Medicago truncatula: one gene and its partner. The protein of the gene in region 2 binds, or shares a complex with, the protein of the main gene of each other region. Links are inferred from orthologs where the notes say so. Each region holds a gene or a part of one and is shown on either strand. Other genes may lie near its edges.

Region 1 (7,928 bases), on a different chromosome or scaffold from region 2:
GAAGTTTAAAATGCCCAATGGTAAAGACTGATTTTTTCCCTAGCATCTGACTAGGTGCTCCAAAAATGTAACAAGAAAAAACAGCAGGTATATTTGGGAGGAGCGCATTTACAACATCTAGATGTTCAAATTAAATGTTATTTTGGTTAGAGTTTGATAAGCAACAGAACCAACTGCAGACTTCTATATTAGAAATCAGGGTAAACAAATAGCACAAATAGCATTGAGATATAAATCAGACATGCTTCCACAGACTTAACAAGTCATAACATAAGAATAGTTTTTCACATGAACTGGTCCGTCATTTAAGGGGGTACAATAGTTTTTCAATTTGATAGTATTAAAATAAGACAAAGTGAATAACTTCAACCAGTAATCAGATAAATGAATCAAGACTCGGTCATGATTCTAACAATGTGAATGAAACAAGCAAATTAATTTAGTCTACAGTTTTCATTGGTTTACCTCTCCCTCTAACTATTCAACAAACCTTCATGTGAACTACTCTCTTCTCTAGAATTTAAATAGGTCTTCTCAGAGCGCTCCTTTATTTCATCCAGCTTGAATGGTTTACCTCTCCCATTAATTCCCCATCATTTTGTATGGTTTCTTTCGGTAAGCAAATGAATTCGTTGAGTTTTGAAAAAACTGAGCACAAGTGCCACAGACCAGGGCAAAATAATACAAAAGGGTGCAGCTCAACAGAACACAATCCCCCACAAGCTAAAGTGACAACAAACAATGCAAAACTAGCCAAGTAAAGACACCACTATAAATGTTATAGCCCTACAGACACCAACTATACTGGGATATCAAGTCACACCATTGGTCTACATGGAAAATAAACACGAGAAACACCAGAAGTCATCCCACAGTAGCAAATACTTAAAGTTTTACGTGGCCGAAACCACCTGCAATTCTATGGACCACTCAGATACAACCATCCAGACCACAAAAAACCACCCAGCACTTTAATTTACAGAAAACCCAATCCAAGCAACCCATCTTACAAAACAAATTGAAAAATACCAATGTTATCAAACGCAGATTGCGGAAAATAGTGATTTGTTCAAATTCCGCTAGGCTACAGTGCTATAGTGCCGCTACTTGACACCACTTTGTACAAAATAGAGTATTGAAAAACAATAGCGGTTTGTTCATATTCCAACACGCTATAGCCGCAATTTGACAACACTGAAGAATACAATATATTGGATTCATGCACCAACATGAGAAAGGTAATAAAAGATCCTCAACCTTTACTTTAATACATAACCAGGTCTGGGATTTAATAAGGTTGACAACACTGAAGAATACAAGATATTGGATTCATGCACCAACATGAGAAAGACAATAAAGGATCCTCAACCTTCACTTTAATACATAACCAAGTCTGGGATTTAATAAGGTTTAGTATATTAGTCATAGCAAATTTACCATCATTAAAAATGGTATCATTCCTCATAGCATATTCATGTCACCATCTAGACCAAGATTTTTCCTGAACTATATATAACACGCATAGTTTAGATTAAAGGTGAGTTTGGTGTCCGACACAAGTAGATACATTCAATCACTTCTATTTAATAAAATAATATCATCTCTACAGACTACATGTCAGTGGTGTCGTTTGGTGTTCCTGTTTGTGTTGGTGATTCATAGCTAATTACTAAAATAAAATTAGTTACAAAAATACTTCATTAATCTTGTTTAGTCTTTAGTCTGATGCACCTCAAGAGTGAATTGTCCAAAATTTATACATACTCAAAATCACCAATGTTCATGCTTGATCACGTGAGGGCTACCTTGCCGGTGATGTACCGTGATCAAGGTCTGAGAAAACTGCTTGCGTGGTAAAAGGTGAATGGGTTAGGGTTTGCTTAAGGACCCTGTCATGGCCCTTGATCTCGGATAACTGCAATTGCCACTCACCCCAGTATTATCCGTGATCGTTGCTGCTTGATTGAGCAAACAGCACTTGCTTATGTGCTGGTATGACTTAGTCTCTCCCTGGGACACAAGTCTATGTCGGTATTGATATTATCTATTTCGGTAATGGGCCTGTATACCTCAGCATTGGGCCTATGTATCATGGCTATGTAAGGACCGAGTAAGTTTATAAAGGATATGCCGGTCCAACCAATGTTGACAATAGTGGATTACAAAAAATAGCAGCTCAATCAAATTCTACTACACTAGGGCAACTATAGCCGCTATCTAACAACACTTTGTACTAGATATCATATTGCTAAACAATAGGGATTTGTTCATATTTTGGAACACAATAACCGCTACTTGAGAACTGAAACAAACAAAAACCCAAATACATTCAACAATCAAAATCTAAAAGCTTCAACTTTTGTGCTTCAATTCTTTTTTGAAACTCATTCTTTCTACATGCCACCAATGCGCAAAAAAAAAATTAACAATTGTTCTCACATCACAACACTAACAAAGCAAGTTCTCCCTCACATTCACATTCACATTCGCATATGATTCGATTCAATATCAATTCAAAGCCAATAACAGCACTAACACAACGAAAATTTTACCTTCCTCGTTGAATCTCATGGCGCAAAGCTTCAATATCAACTTTAATAATCGGCAATGGCTTCAAATCTTCCCTTGCCAAAGCAAGCTCACTCTGAACACTCTGCAAATGTTCCACAAGCTCCTTCCTTACCTCCGCAAGTTCCCTTACATCAGCCCTTACCTGATCAAGATCAGACTTCATCGCCGCAACGGCACGTACCTCAGCATCCATCTTAAGCGATTTCTCGTAGATCCGACGGACCTCGGCGTCTCGTTCGGCTTTGACATCGGCGGCAGCGGCGGAGAGCTGACGAAGCTCTTGTTGAGTGGCGGTGAGGTCTTGTTTTAAGGCGAGGTGAGTTGTGGCGAGACGTTGGTTGTCGTGGAGGAGGGTTTGGATTTCGCGGTGGCGGGTGGTGATGCGGTCTTCGAGGGCGGTGGTTGAGGTGGAGGAGGAGGAGGAATGAGAGAGACGTGGCTCGTCGCGGCGGGAGAGAGAAGAGTGAAGATTATGGTGGTGGTGATGTTTGCGTCCTGCCATTTGTAGTTTTACACGGACGGGGAAGAATGGATTAGAGGAGTGACTCTGGTTTCAGGCTTCACTGCTACGGAGAAATTTCGTTATTTCATTCCCTTTCAATTCAAATGGTTTACATAATTTTTCCCGAGTAAATACCAATTACCCTCTCGAAATCGTTACTTTCGTCAATCATTTCTCTCTCGCATTAACAAAACATCAATTACTTTTGAAATTGCACAATTAATCAATTTATCCCTCCGTCAAATTATTCGTTTAGTCAACATAACGTTTTGTAAATACCCTTGAAATTTTGACACTTTGCAAAATGTCTCCGAATTTGAAAATTTATATTTTTTTACTTCTTATACTTCACTCAAGATATTAAAAGTAAATAATTATCATTTAACTTTAATGAAACTGAATAGCTGTTTCTTCTGCACTAATGATTTTCTATTTCATTCTTATGTTTCAATATTATCATGATCTACTTAATAGGCTCAACTTCAGTCCCTTAACATTTACTTACCTACTACTTTTTTTTGTTGCAAAGGCAAAATATACTTATACTATTAAAACCACAGCCAAGCACAATGAGACACAAGATGTGCAAGAATGAAACAAGAAGATAAACAACAACAATGAGACACAAGAAAACTCCCAAAACCCAACAATATGTGAAATGAATTTCTAATTTTGCTGACAAACTAATGCATCTCCAATTTTAATCCAAAGCTAAAGCAAGATTTATGAGACTATTGCTTAATCTAAGAGGTGTATTTATTTACTATTCATTTCATTCTTTCATATCTATGTGATTTCAAAATAGTGGATGATGCCACATGGTAATGAATTATATTGCTAAATGATAATAGTGTATATTGTTACTTGATATAATTTTCACAATCAGATAAGTATTGCAGACTAAAACCATTAGAAATAATTTCATCTAATCATTGGTTAAAAAAATATTATCTATTCTATTTATAAAACAAAACATATCAATTTAAATATGTAGCTAAGCTGAAAAATATATTATACATTTTTTACAAGAATATTTACCACTATGTTAATTGTTTGTCTTTAATATCTTTTGAGTTAAGTATAAGAAAAAAAATCAAGTTCGGGGGGCATTTCGCACATAAGTGCAAAACTTCAGGGGGATATGCAAAACATGATATTGACTAACAGAAGAATTTGACGGATGATGTAAATTGATTAACATTGTACAATTTCATAGGGGTAATTGAAGTTTTGTTAACGTTAGGGTGGTAATTGCCGAAACTTACAATTTGAGGGGATTAATTGCCTAAAACATTATTGGTGATGTTTACAAAATTTTACAGATGCATCATCTGATAATATGTTGTGTTCACGTGAGCTTAGCTCAATTAGCAAGGACAGTGCACAATATATGCAAGATCCGGGGTTCGAACCTTGAACACCACAAAAAAAAAATCCGATAATATGTTGTGACTTTGTTTAACGAGTCAAAAAGACATGACTCGTCATACCTCATCAAATAACGTGACAACATTTGTAAAATTTGAGTACACCGATGATGCATATAAATTAAACCCAACACATTAGCACCTCCCTTGGCGAATAAAAAAAAACACCTCCTTTGTAAAAATAATTTAATAAACATCAATTTATCACCTTTTTGTTAGACGTCTTTTTTAGATCAGGTGTAGTATCGTATGTTTAGGTTTATTATGTCAGGTGTAGTATCATGTGTTTAGGTAGTTGGGGTGGGAGTTAGTTTTACCTTTAGATTTAGCTAATGTTCATAGTTTTATATCCAAATTAGATGTCATGTTTATTATTAGAGTAAATGGTCACTTTGTAACTGACTCTGCACAGATCTCTGACTCAAGATTAAATACAAAGTAATCATTGAATGTGCATTTCTGTTATCACTTTAGTCCCTAACATTAAATAATTCTGTTAACCGATGACGTGACAAATGTTTTATGCTGACATGACATATGATGTATCACAAGAACTAAAGTAAAAGTAGAAAATGGTATGGTAACTTTGGTCCCTGAAATCGAAGATCATATCCCAAATTGAATCTTTAATCTCTAAATCCTGAATTCAATCCTCAAATCCCTAAATCCCCAAATTGCACCAACACTCAACATCATGTAATTCGATTTTGGCGTTTAATGCAAGATTTGATTTTGAACAAAATAGAGAATTGTATGACATTTAGGAATTTGAGATTTAGGAATTTGGGGATTGAATTTAGGATTTAGGGATTTGTGATTCAATTCGAGGATAGTGATACACAAGCATAAATGATTTAATGATTTAATTAATGGTAGAAAAAAGTTAATTAAGTTGTCCGTTGAGAATATTGAGGGCATGTAGTAGTAAAATCTAGGTGTGGGTATTGGGTTATGATGGATGAAATGGTGGATTTCGTGGAAAAGTGAGAAAATAAAAGGTATGTTATGGTTTTCAAGGAAAACAGATGTAGTAACGTTGCATGTGCAGGTTTGCTTTCACATTGAATCAAAGCTAGCTATTTCAGTGAGAGAGGAAGAATAAAAGAGCTTCAAATCTTTCTATTTGTCCTTCTCTGTTGAGGTGGATACAAAAATGTTACCCTTATATCTTAATTATTATGATTCCTTTAACAATTTGCAATCCACTTATTATATATGATCATCTTGAATCTCTGAATTCGTTTTCAAAATTGAGAGACCACTCAATTTTGTTTTGCGAACAAGACTACCTCAACTTGGTTGGTTTCTAAAAAAAAAAAAACTTGGTTAGTTTCTTTTAATTTGATTGAAACTAACTAAGCTAGGTAAGAGTCCATACCCCATGCATTCTAACGAAATTTGACGAAATAAGAAACCACTTACCATACTTGGTAAACATAGGTAAGGTGGTAATAAAGAAAATAGATGAAAGATAAAACTAGCATTTACTCAAATACTAACCGGTCATCTATATGCTTAGTCGTTTTTTTTTTTTGTGCGAGAGAAATGCTTCGTCGATTTCCCCTTTAATTTAAGGAAAATTCTACAATGAAGTCATGAGAATGATTTATCTGGTGAAGTTAACACTATAACATCAAAAGTGTTGTGAGTAACACCCCACTATTTATACAATGACATCAAAAGTTCAGTCCTCATAGTATCATCAATTCATCAGATTAACAAGAATACACTTAATCTAATTTTATCCTACTTTGTTTTAAGTGTAACACCTCACAAAGTGTAACACTTAAGACTATCACATGATATCAGCAACTTTGTTTGCATGTTAAAGATGTCAACAATAAAATAGTATCTATAAGTTCAAGATGCTGCAAGTATTACTAGATGAGTTACTATTAATCATTAATCAGTAATCCACAATTTAAAAATGAATCAAACATTAAAATTAAAATTAACTTTTTTAAAAAAAGTCAGTTTCATGACCGTAGAGCTCCCTTAATTTAATTGTAGTTTTGATCATAATATTTTCATCATTTTACAAATTCAGTCTCCCTATTTAAAAATCTGATAATTTTTTTTGTCCCTTCATCATATTTTTTTAACTAAAAAAATTAATAACGTGGTTTATGATTCGATGATAGGAAGAAAAAAATTGATGACGTTATAAAAAAAAAGTTGTTTAAAAATTTTATTTAAAACATATCATATTATCATATTTTAAACCAAACATTTGATTGAGGAATTAAAACTATCAAATTTCAAAATAGGTGAATAAAATCCTTAAAAGAATATAAGTAAGGGGATCAAAATTGACACAAATCACAAACCAGTTTATCATATTCCACTTCTTCCCTTCAACGTTTGTTCACATCTTTGTCTCTTAAATTTGACACGCTCTACCTATTTTCTGGTATATCCAGATTCCCATCTTTCGGCTACCAAAATATCACATCATTATTTTTCTCTGTTTCAAGTCGTAAGTGTATATACACGCAATATTTTAGTAATTAAATATTTTATATGATAAGACTGAAAAGCTTAAATTTGTTTACTTTTATTAAAAAAATGAGACACTCTGTGGTTTAAATTTACGGTTGATTCTACTATATCTTCTACTAGTTCTCTAATATTATGCATGGGAATATGAACGTACAGTTCGATGCAGCTTTGATGTTGTGATGTTTATTTATTTTTTTATTTGTAACAACTAACAAGTTATGCAATGAAGAAGAAGATGAAACTGGTAGAATCAGAAAACCTCCTGTATGGAGCAGAGACTATATCTTAGGAAGAGAAGCAGAAGAAGAAGAAAGCAGTTTTCAGACTCTGGCTTTTTCAGTAATAGAGAAGATCCTGCTACTTATGAGGAAGCTGCAAAGTTCAATTGTTGGAAAGAGGCTATGGATCAGGAAATTGAAGCCATAGAAAGAAATGATACCAACTGGAAGCAGGAAGATTAGTGTAAAATGGATTTATAAGACAAAATACAATGAAAATGGTAAAGTTGAAAAACACAAAGCCAGATTAGTAGCAAAGGGGTACTCTCAAAAGTATGGAGTTGATTACAATGAAGTTTTTGCTCCTGTAACCAGATGGGACACTAATAGAACTATACTTTGTTTGTTAGGCAAGAAACTGGAGGAAAAATACTTACCGTAAGTTTGTATGTAGATGACTTAATCTACACTTGAAATGATGAAGAAGTGTTTGAAGAGTTCAAACATTCTATGGAAAATAAATTTTCCATGACAGATCTGGGCAAGATGAGGTATTTTCTTGGTGTGGAAGTCAAGCAGATGGATAGAGGAATATTCATTCATCAGCAGAAATACGCAAATGAAATTCTATCTAGATTTGGTATGGAAAATTGCAACAAAGTATTGAACCCCATAGTCCCTTGAAACAAGCTGTCAAGAGATGAAAAGGGA
Region 2 (8,104 bases):
ATTATTCATAAGCTCCCATTAGATTAGATTATGATGGCCATTAATTTGCCGAAAGTTACACCACGGTCTTTAATCTTTTATGATGCATTCCATATCTCTTTCTATCTATTAAAGGAGTTCAACTTTGCTCCATTTAAGTTTGCTCGATTTACCACATTTACTATTATGGATGTCTGACATGTGGTAAAATAGAAACCAAGGGTTGAAAAAAGCAATTGTTTTATAAAAAACAAGGCTACGTGCTTCTTTTTCATACCAACTGCACTCATGACCCTTCTTCTTCCTCCTCTCACCATCATCACTCTCGTGCTTCTCTCTCCCTCTTGCTGGCGCCGGCACTGCCCTTTCCGTTCATACAACAATAAATCCGAAATTGTAAATCATTAATAAATTGTTCTAATCCAAAGATGAATACTTAGAATCATATTGATCCCAGAAAAATCAATCATGAAAGTAAAATTAATCTCCATATTTGTTAACTAAAACTAAAAAAGCTACAACAAATATATAACGTGTGACTAAAATTTACAATTTCAGTGGCATTTTTGTTGATTTCTCAATTTCACCCAACATCAACATATAATTTCAGGAATCAAAACGAGGTTTCATCCTAAAATTTTGTTCATATTTAAAGAAACAGTAATATAATTTAAGATTTTCCCCCAACCAACAACCTCCACCTTTGATCGAAATTAAGAAGCACGGAAGTGATATGGTGAGAGGAGGAAGAAGAAGGGTCATGAGTGCAGTTGGTATTGAAAGAAGAAGAAGAAGCGCGTAGCTTGTTTTTGATAAAACAAATGATTTTTTCAACCCTTTTAATCTCAACCCTTGATTTTCTATTTTGCCACATGTCACACATCCATGATGGTAAATAGGATGAATGGAGCAAAGATGGACTCCTATTAAAAACAGAACAATATTATTAGAGTGCGTTGCTAGTAGTTGCAATCAAACATGGTATAATAATACTATTATAATTACTAATACAATCTTGAATTATATGTACAATGTCATGTTCTGTTCACTTATTTTATATGGCTTTAGTGTCAACATATGCGTTTGATATGCATATTACTAGATCCAATTTGTGAATGAAGAGAGTTTCTACGATGCAGTTATGAAACTGACTTTTTTGAAAAAGTTAATTTTAATTTTAATGTTTGATTCATTTTTAAATTGTTGGTTACTGATTAATGATCAATAGTAATTCATCTAGTAATGCTTGCAATATCTTGGACTTATCGGTACTATTTTATCGTTGACATCTTTAACATGGAAACAAAGTTGCTGATATCATTTGATAGTCTTAAGTGTTACACTTTGTGGGGACAACACTTAAAACAAGGTAGGATAAAAATTAGATTAAGTGTATTATTGTTAATCTGATAAATTGATGATACTATGACGATTGAACTTTTGATGTCATTGTGCAAACAGTGGGGATCACTCACAAAATACTTTTAATGTTATAGTGTTAACTTCACCAAAAAAGTTATTCTTATAATTTCACCGTAGAATTTTCCCATGAATTAATATGGGATTCAGCTCCTTTAGGTGTAATAACAATTAACAGTAAACATGGGAACTCATGTTTGGAAGCCGGTCGTAGTAACAGAGGATTGTTGGTTTGGTTGATGAGTATTACTGCCGCCAAAGTATCATAATTAAGATGCTAATTCTAAAACTAACTAAAGGTAAAATTGAAAATGACAAAAAAACAGTTTATACTTCTTCTATATTGGAATGCGTGTAATCAGCAAAGCAAGAAAGAAATCACAAATGAGTAAATAGTCAATTTCTCTGAAATTGTAGATTTCATCAATTACTCTTATGAAATTAACAAAACTTCAATTACCTTCATGAAATTGCATAACGTTAATCAATTTACCCCCTCCGTCAAATTTTTCTGTTAACTGTTTACGGTTATGATCAAATACACCCCTGAAATTTTGCACTTATGTGCAAAATGCCCCTAAACTTAAAAATTTATATTTTTTTTTATCCTTGACTCAAAAGATATTAAAGGCAAACAAATTAACAATTATTGATCATATAACTATGTATGGAATGTATGTTTATGCAGCTATTGGTCATATAAATCTTTATGGAAGATATGTTACTCTCATGTGTTTTAAATATATACATATATAGAAGACTTTTTTTTTATACAAGTTGGTAATTATGTTATAGTATGTAGTCATAAAGTACACAAGTCTTTGATAATTGTGTCTCCATATGTTAATATCTGCAGAAGGAAGAAGAAACAAGACTTGTTGATAAATATGAAATATGAATGAAAATGCTGCACATGACAAAACCATGATTTCTTTGGCATATATTCATTCATTTTCTTGTGAATAGAATTTTTATGACATTAGGTATAATATATTACTTGAAGAACTAAATGTATGATTTTTGGTAAGAAAAAAATTCTAAATTTTTAAGTTTAGGGGGCATTTTGCATATAAGTGCAAAATTTCAGGGGGGGTATTTGATCATAATCGTAAACAGTTAACAGAAAAATTTGACGGAGGGGTAAATTGATTAACGTTATGCAATTTCAGAGGGGTGATTGATGTTTTGTTAATTTCGGAGGGGGGGGGGGTAATTGATGAAACTTACAATTTCAGGGGGGAAATTGACTATTTGCTTAATCACAAATTATGCATTTCTCTTTTTACAATGGTTAAGTATATACTCCTTCTACAAAAAAAAATATATGCTTTTTTTTTCATATGATTTTATTCTCTAAATAAATAATTGTATCTGGATCACTCGTGAATAGAAAAATACATAGAAAAAACCAAACAATTGGCTTAATTAATTAATAAGTTCCATTAAGAACGAATTGTTCAAGAGAACTTAAGTTTGATTCTTGAATGAAACAATTTTTTACCATACTTTCCTTATCTATCGGCCGAACTCCTTGAGATTCAGAGGATTAACACAAAAGAAGAAAATACATGGCAATGAAGGTGACAAATTTTAGCATATGGTTTGAATAGAAACATTAGCAACCTAGGTCATGCGGGCTTCATCATTTCTGGTTGTTTAAGGTTGAAAGAAAGAAAAAAGTTTGAAAGCCCAACATTGTCGCAGTTCTTTCAATATAATCAAGAAATTGGTTCAAAGTACCCCTTTATTTGCTCTTAGGCCCCTCAAAATGCTAATAACACTCCCTTTTAGAGTTACGATTCAAACCATTCGAGCTATAAATCCCTCTCACTCAAGTTACAATCCAAACAACATCAAAGTTTTCATTGATTTGAAATCAAACATTATTGAGACTTCCATTTATGTGAAACCACGCATTGTTGAGACTTTTGTTGATGTCAAACCAAATGTTGAGATTTCCGTTGACGTGAAACCAAATGTTGATTACAAGAGAGAAGATTGTTAAGCTCGTTGTTTCTAAACTTGTTGATAATGAAGTTGATACGGTGAAATACCTTTTTTTTACCAAAGTGAAATATAAACTTAGAGATAATTTGATTAATTAGACTTGTCGTCAAGCATCAATAGTCGAATGTACTTTAATTATATAAAAACTTCATCATGGTGGTGGATGAAGAGTGCGAAATTTAGTACAGGGTTGTAAAAAGGTTGATGTGTACCAAGGAACCAAAAAGAAGTTAAAACGTGAAGTCACAAGTCAGTAAAAAGTGAATTTACATTTATGTCATTTAGTATTGTTAATGTAGTACACAAGCATCCAATGAGACAAGGTAAGAATGTCACCTTCTTGCAGGCAGTTTAATCAAGGAAGAAAATGAGAGTGTCATTGACATGGGCAGGAGTACGGTATACCAAATAATATCCTAGTGACTTGAAAGATAAAATAAAAAGCTATGTAATGTTTATAAAGTAAGTTTACAATGCACGTCAAAGGTATAAAAAGTCCATAAGAGTTGAAATGTTAAAAATGCAATATCTATTGAAACGTTTGGTCGATCACAATTATGTTTACCGGTTTAAATCTTTTGGTGAGTTTACAACTATTTATGATATTTTTTGGGCTCATCATGTATCTGCTAATTTGTTTAGTATTTTTCACATTGTTTTCTTAATGGATTCCACTTATAAAATCAGTCGCTATAAAAGTAATTATTTGAGATAGCTGAGGTAACCTCAATTTAATTAACATATTATGTTGGTTTTGATTTCTGACGTACAAAAAAAAAAATCCACTCATGCTCTACAAACTTGTCTCGATCTTTCGAAGTCTAAAAACAATATGTCAAAAGTTATTGTGATTGACAAGGATGACACACAAAAATGACTCACGTTGTTAGTATCTTCCCTTAATCTACTACTTTAATGTGTTGGTATCATATTTCAAAAAACGTGAGAGCAAGATGCAAAGATAAATTACAAAGTCAAATATTTTGATGTCAAAGAGGATGATTTTGAAAAGGTGGATGTCGAAAAGAATGATGCCAAAGAGATGAAATTGATAAGAGTTATGTAACACCATCATAAAAGTGTGAGAAAAATGAAACGATGTCTATTACATTAACTAAGGGATTAAAATCAATTTTTTTTAGGGGAAAATCAAAATCTTATTCTATATTTTTAGGGACGAATAAAAATATATAAGATTCTTATTCAGCCTCAAGACTATCCACAATTACATAAATAACCACACGTGCGTATAATAATCCATAATTATGACCCACCCAAACACAAGGGTATTTTTATATGTAAAAAATAAAAGAAGAGAAAAAACAAAGTTACGATTAAGAACCCTAGCCTAGGTCTTCTTCTTCTTCTTCTTCTTCTTCTTCATCCTCCATCGCAGTAGCAGCATAGGGTGGTTGAACGGAATCGGAATCTCTAAACCCTAGCGGCATCTTTATCTGAATTTCGATGGGGAGGAAGAAGAAGCGCGTTGCTTCAAAGGTATGGTGTTATTACTGCGATCGTGAATTCGATGACGAGAAGATCTTGGTTCAGCATCAGAAAGCCAAGCACTTTAAGTGTCACGTTTGTCATAAGAAGCTTTCCACTGCTGGTGGCATGTCCATTCACGTTCTTCAGGTCCACAAAGAAAACGTCACCAAGTATATTCTCTTTTCTCTTTCATCATTTTAGGGTTTTCAATTTCACTTTTTTATTTTATTTTATGTAATTTGATCTCTGTCTTACGAGTTTCCCTCATTCTATGCTATGATTTGTAGTTACATTTCAAAGAATGTTTCCAAGTGTGATTTATTCATTGCTAATTATCTATTCATGTGTGAATTCAATTTACTATTTAGGTTCAATTTGGATAAACAACTTAATTAAATGCTTATAGCATTAAAGTTTATCTTATAAGTGCTTACTTATAAGCTATTTCTATCGCAAAAGATTAAATAATGTCAGAACGATTTTCATATAAGCTATAAGCTGGTTTTATAAGCTATACTAGAGAGTTTATGGAAATAAGATGATAAAAGCTGATACATGTCATAAATCATTTTCATAAGCTCTCCTAAGCAGTTTTACAAGTGCTTATACCAGTAGATAAGCTCAGATAAGACAATTAAAGCAGACCCTAGTAACAAAGAGGGGGGTTGTTTGCTTTGTTAGTCAAGCATTTGACTGACCCTTGATGTACAAACTTAATTATGTTTGAGTGAATGCTCTCCTTAAAATATTAATGTACTAGATTTTACTGAACTCTTAATTATTTCAGGGTGCCAAATGCGAAACCTGGAAGAGAGAGTACAGAAATTGAAATATACGGAATGCAGGGGATTCCGCCAGATGTCTTGGCTGCTCATTATGGAGATGAAGGTTACACTATACTCTGTCTCATTGTTTTTTCTCCTTGTTTCATAGTTCTTATTGATAGTTTATACTCGAGACACCTTAATAACTACTACAAGTACAAACAAGACACCTTAATAACTACTACAAGTACAAACAAATCTGATTTTTTACCTCTGTTTAATGATTCCATTGTAGTGTCAGAAATAGTAGGGATGCAGGGAAGGAGGCCCCTGCATAACTGTAACAGATGTAATGTAACTGCTTATTAACCGTAGTAAGTTAATTAGTTATCTGCAGGGTGGGTATTATAAACGGTAGCAGATATATAGGAGTTAGGGGGTGGACAAACGGTTGGATCCAGTCGGTAAACCACCATTTAGAGAAATCCGCCGGCCGGAAAATCTCAGCCCATTTATTTTCGCGGATAGGTTGGGTGGCGGGTTCTAACGAAAGCGGGTGGGATGAAATGGATAGCAGAACAAGAAGGAGAAGAAGGGGGCTACTTAGATTTTGGCCGTCGGTGCCGACACAGTTGCATATATCCACGGCCAAGTTCTGCCTTAGTTTACAACTTTACATGGGTTAAATAAAAGAAAAAAGACAAAAATGCATATTTATTTACAGTTTCCAAGTTGCAGTTATTATGAGACTGGGTCTTGTTTCAAAAAAAAAAATGAGATTGGGTCTCAAGACTAATACTCTGAATTAGTATCGACTTGTCGCATCACTGTCTTGTAATTTAAATAAAGAATCAGTATATGTATACAGCGAACATGGTAGCGGTCAGTTTCTCATGGATTTATTTTGAACAGACGAACTCGACCTATTCTAACCCTTGCATAACCGAAAAACTGAACAGATGACCTGGTCTGCTCATATTTTCATTCGATTTTTCCGGTTTGGGTTGGGGTTCGGTTTTTTGTTCAACCCTAACAGGACTAGGCATTGAAATTGATCATTAATCTGGGGATTTAGTTTATGTTGATTCAATAAAAGAATTCTAATCCTAATTTAGGTGGGCTAATTTAGCTTCTTCAAAAAAAAAAAATTCTAATCTCTCTTGTTTTCTGACACTATTCTACCGAATACCTGACATGTATGGTGGCTGTTGTTTTATGTATTATTCTGTTTTGTTGGTATTATTGACGTCAGGAGCGTTTTTGTACAATTTATTATTTAGGATAAAGGCTTTGTACAAGTATTGTTAGTGATGATAAAAATGTTGAATCATACTTAAAATTCCTTTTTTTTTTTTTTTTTTTTTGTTTCACGAGAAATTGTTTAATATTCTCTGACAGTTTTGTATGTATTGCAGACGATGATGTTCCATCAAAGACAGCCAAGGTGGACATCCCATCAACCCCATTTGCAGGTGGAATGGTGCCACCTCCTATGGGTACCGGATATCCTCCACGATCAACCATGGGCCCAATTCGACCAATGTATGCTGTTAAACATTTTTTTCATTTTGATTTTCTCATTCGAATTCTTATTCTATTTGGAACGTGGTAGAAGTGATATATTCGTGAATATTTTTCTATTTAGAAAATTATCAGTGACACAAAATCTGCTCATTTACTTATCTCTCTGCTGCTGCAGATATAATCCTGCTGTACCAGGCCCTCCTAATGCTTGGGGAGTTGTTCCACCTCGACCTCAGCCATGGTTTCCCCAGCCTCCAACTGTTTCAATGCCTCCTCCGGTTCAATACCCACAGCAACCATTATTTCCTGTTCAGAATGTGAGGCCTCCATTGCCATCAACTACTTCACCTGCACTACAATCTCAGATTACTCCTCCTGGACTGCCTTCATCTACACCTCCTGTCCCAGTTTCACAGCCTTTGTTTCCTGTTGTTGGGAACAACCACATGGCCACTCAAAGTTCACCATTTTCCGCTGCACCCATGTCTTCAAGTGTACCATCAATAACTCCTGGGCTTTCTTCAAATGTTCCTATTGACGCACATTTGGGCATCAACTCTTCTGTGACAAGTAGTTATCAAGCAATAGGGATTCCAGGTAACGTTTTATTTTCTTTCCTTGAACCACTGTGACTGGTTTTTTGACACAACTGAATGTGTTTGATGTAGTAAAAAACTTGGAACTAAAAATTTAGTGTTTCCATCTCAGTTGATCTTATATGATTCATGTGATTTTCATTTTCTTGTTCCTCTGGTTTCTTATAGGTGGGATAGCAAGTAACTCGCATTCTTATGCTTCTGGTCCAAATACCGGTGGTCCTTCAATTGGACCTCCACCAGTAATCTCAAACAAAGCTCCCGCTACTCAGCCTGCCACTAACGAAGTCTACTTAGTTTGGGATGACGAGGCAATGTCCATGGTCA

The links.
Region 1: protein SUPPRESSOR OF FRI 4 (region 2) and protein FLC EXPRESSOR share a complex: the UniProt entries of both Arabidopsis thaliana proteins name them as parts of the transcription activator complex. The link is inferred for Medicago truncatula from reciprocal best matches to the Arabidopsis thaliana genes SUF4 and AT2G30120.

Annotation. Positions count from the first base shown.
Region 1 is NC_053046.1:32,260,197-32,268,124, reverse strand, and holds the start of protein FLC EXPRESSOR, read right to left. Parts: upstream 3,193-7,928; 5' UTR 3,074-3,192; coding exon 2,553-3,073; intron 1-2,552. UniProt on the Arabidopsis thaliana protein: Transactivator required for FRIGIDA-mediated activation of FLC and for the expression of the repressors of flowering AGL27/MAF1 and AGL31/MAF2. Does not alter expression of known activators of FLC expression.
Region 2 is NC_053049.1:48,997,933-49,006,036, reverse strand, and holds the start of protein SUPPRESSOR OF FRI 4, read left to right. Parts: upstream 1-4,702; 5' UTR 4,703-4,869; coding exon 4,870-5,063; intron 5,064-5,680; coding exon 5,681-5,781; intron 5,782-7,072; coding exon 7,073-7,199; intron 7,200-7,356; coding exon 7,357-7,778; intron 7,779-7,945; coding exon 7,946-8,100; intron 8,101-8,104. UniProt on the Arabidopsis thaliana protein: Sequence-specific DNA binding factor that recognizes the 5'-CCAAATTTTAAGTTT-3' sequence. Recruits the FRI-C complex to the FLC promoter. Required for FRI-mediated FLC activation, but has no effect on the expression of MAF1, MAF2, MAF3, MAF5, UFC and CO.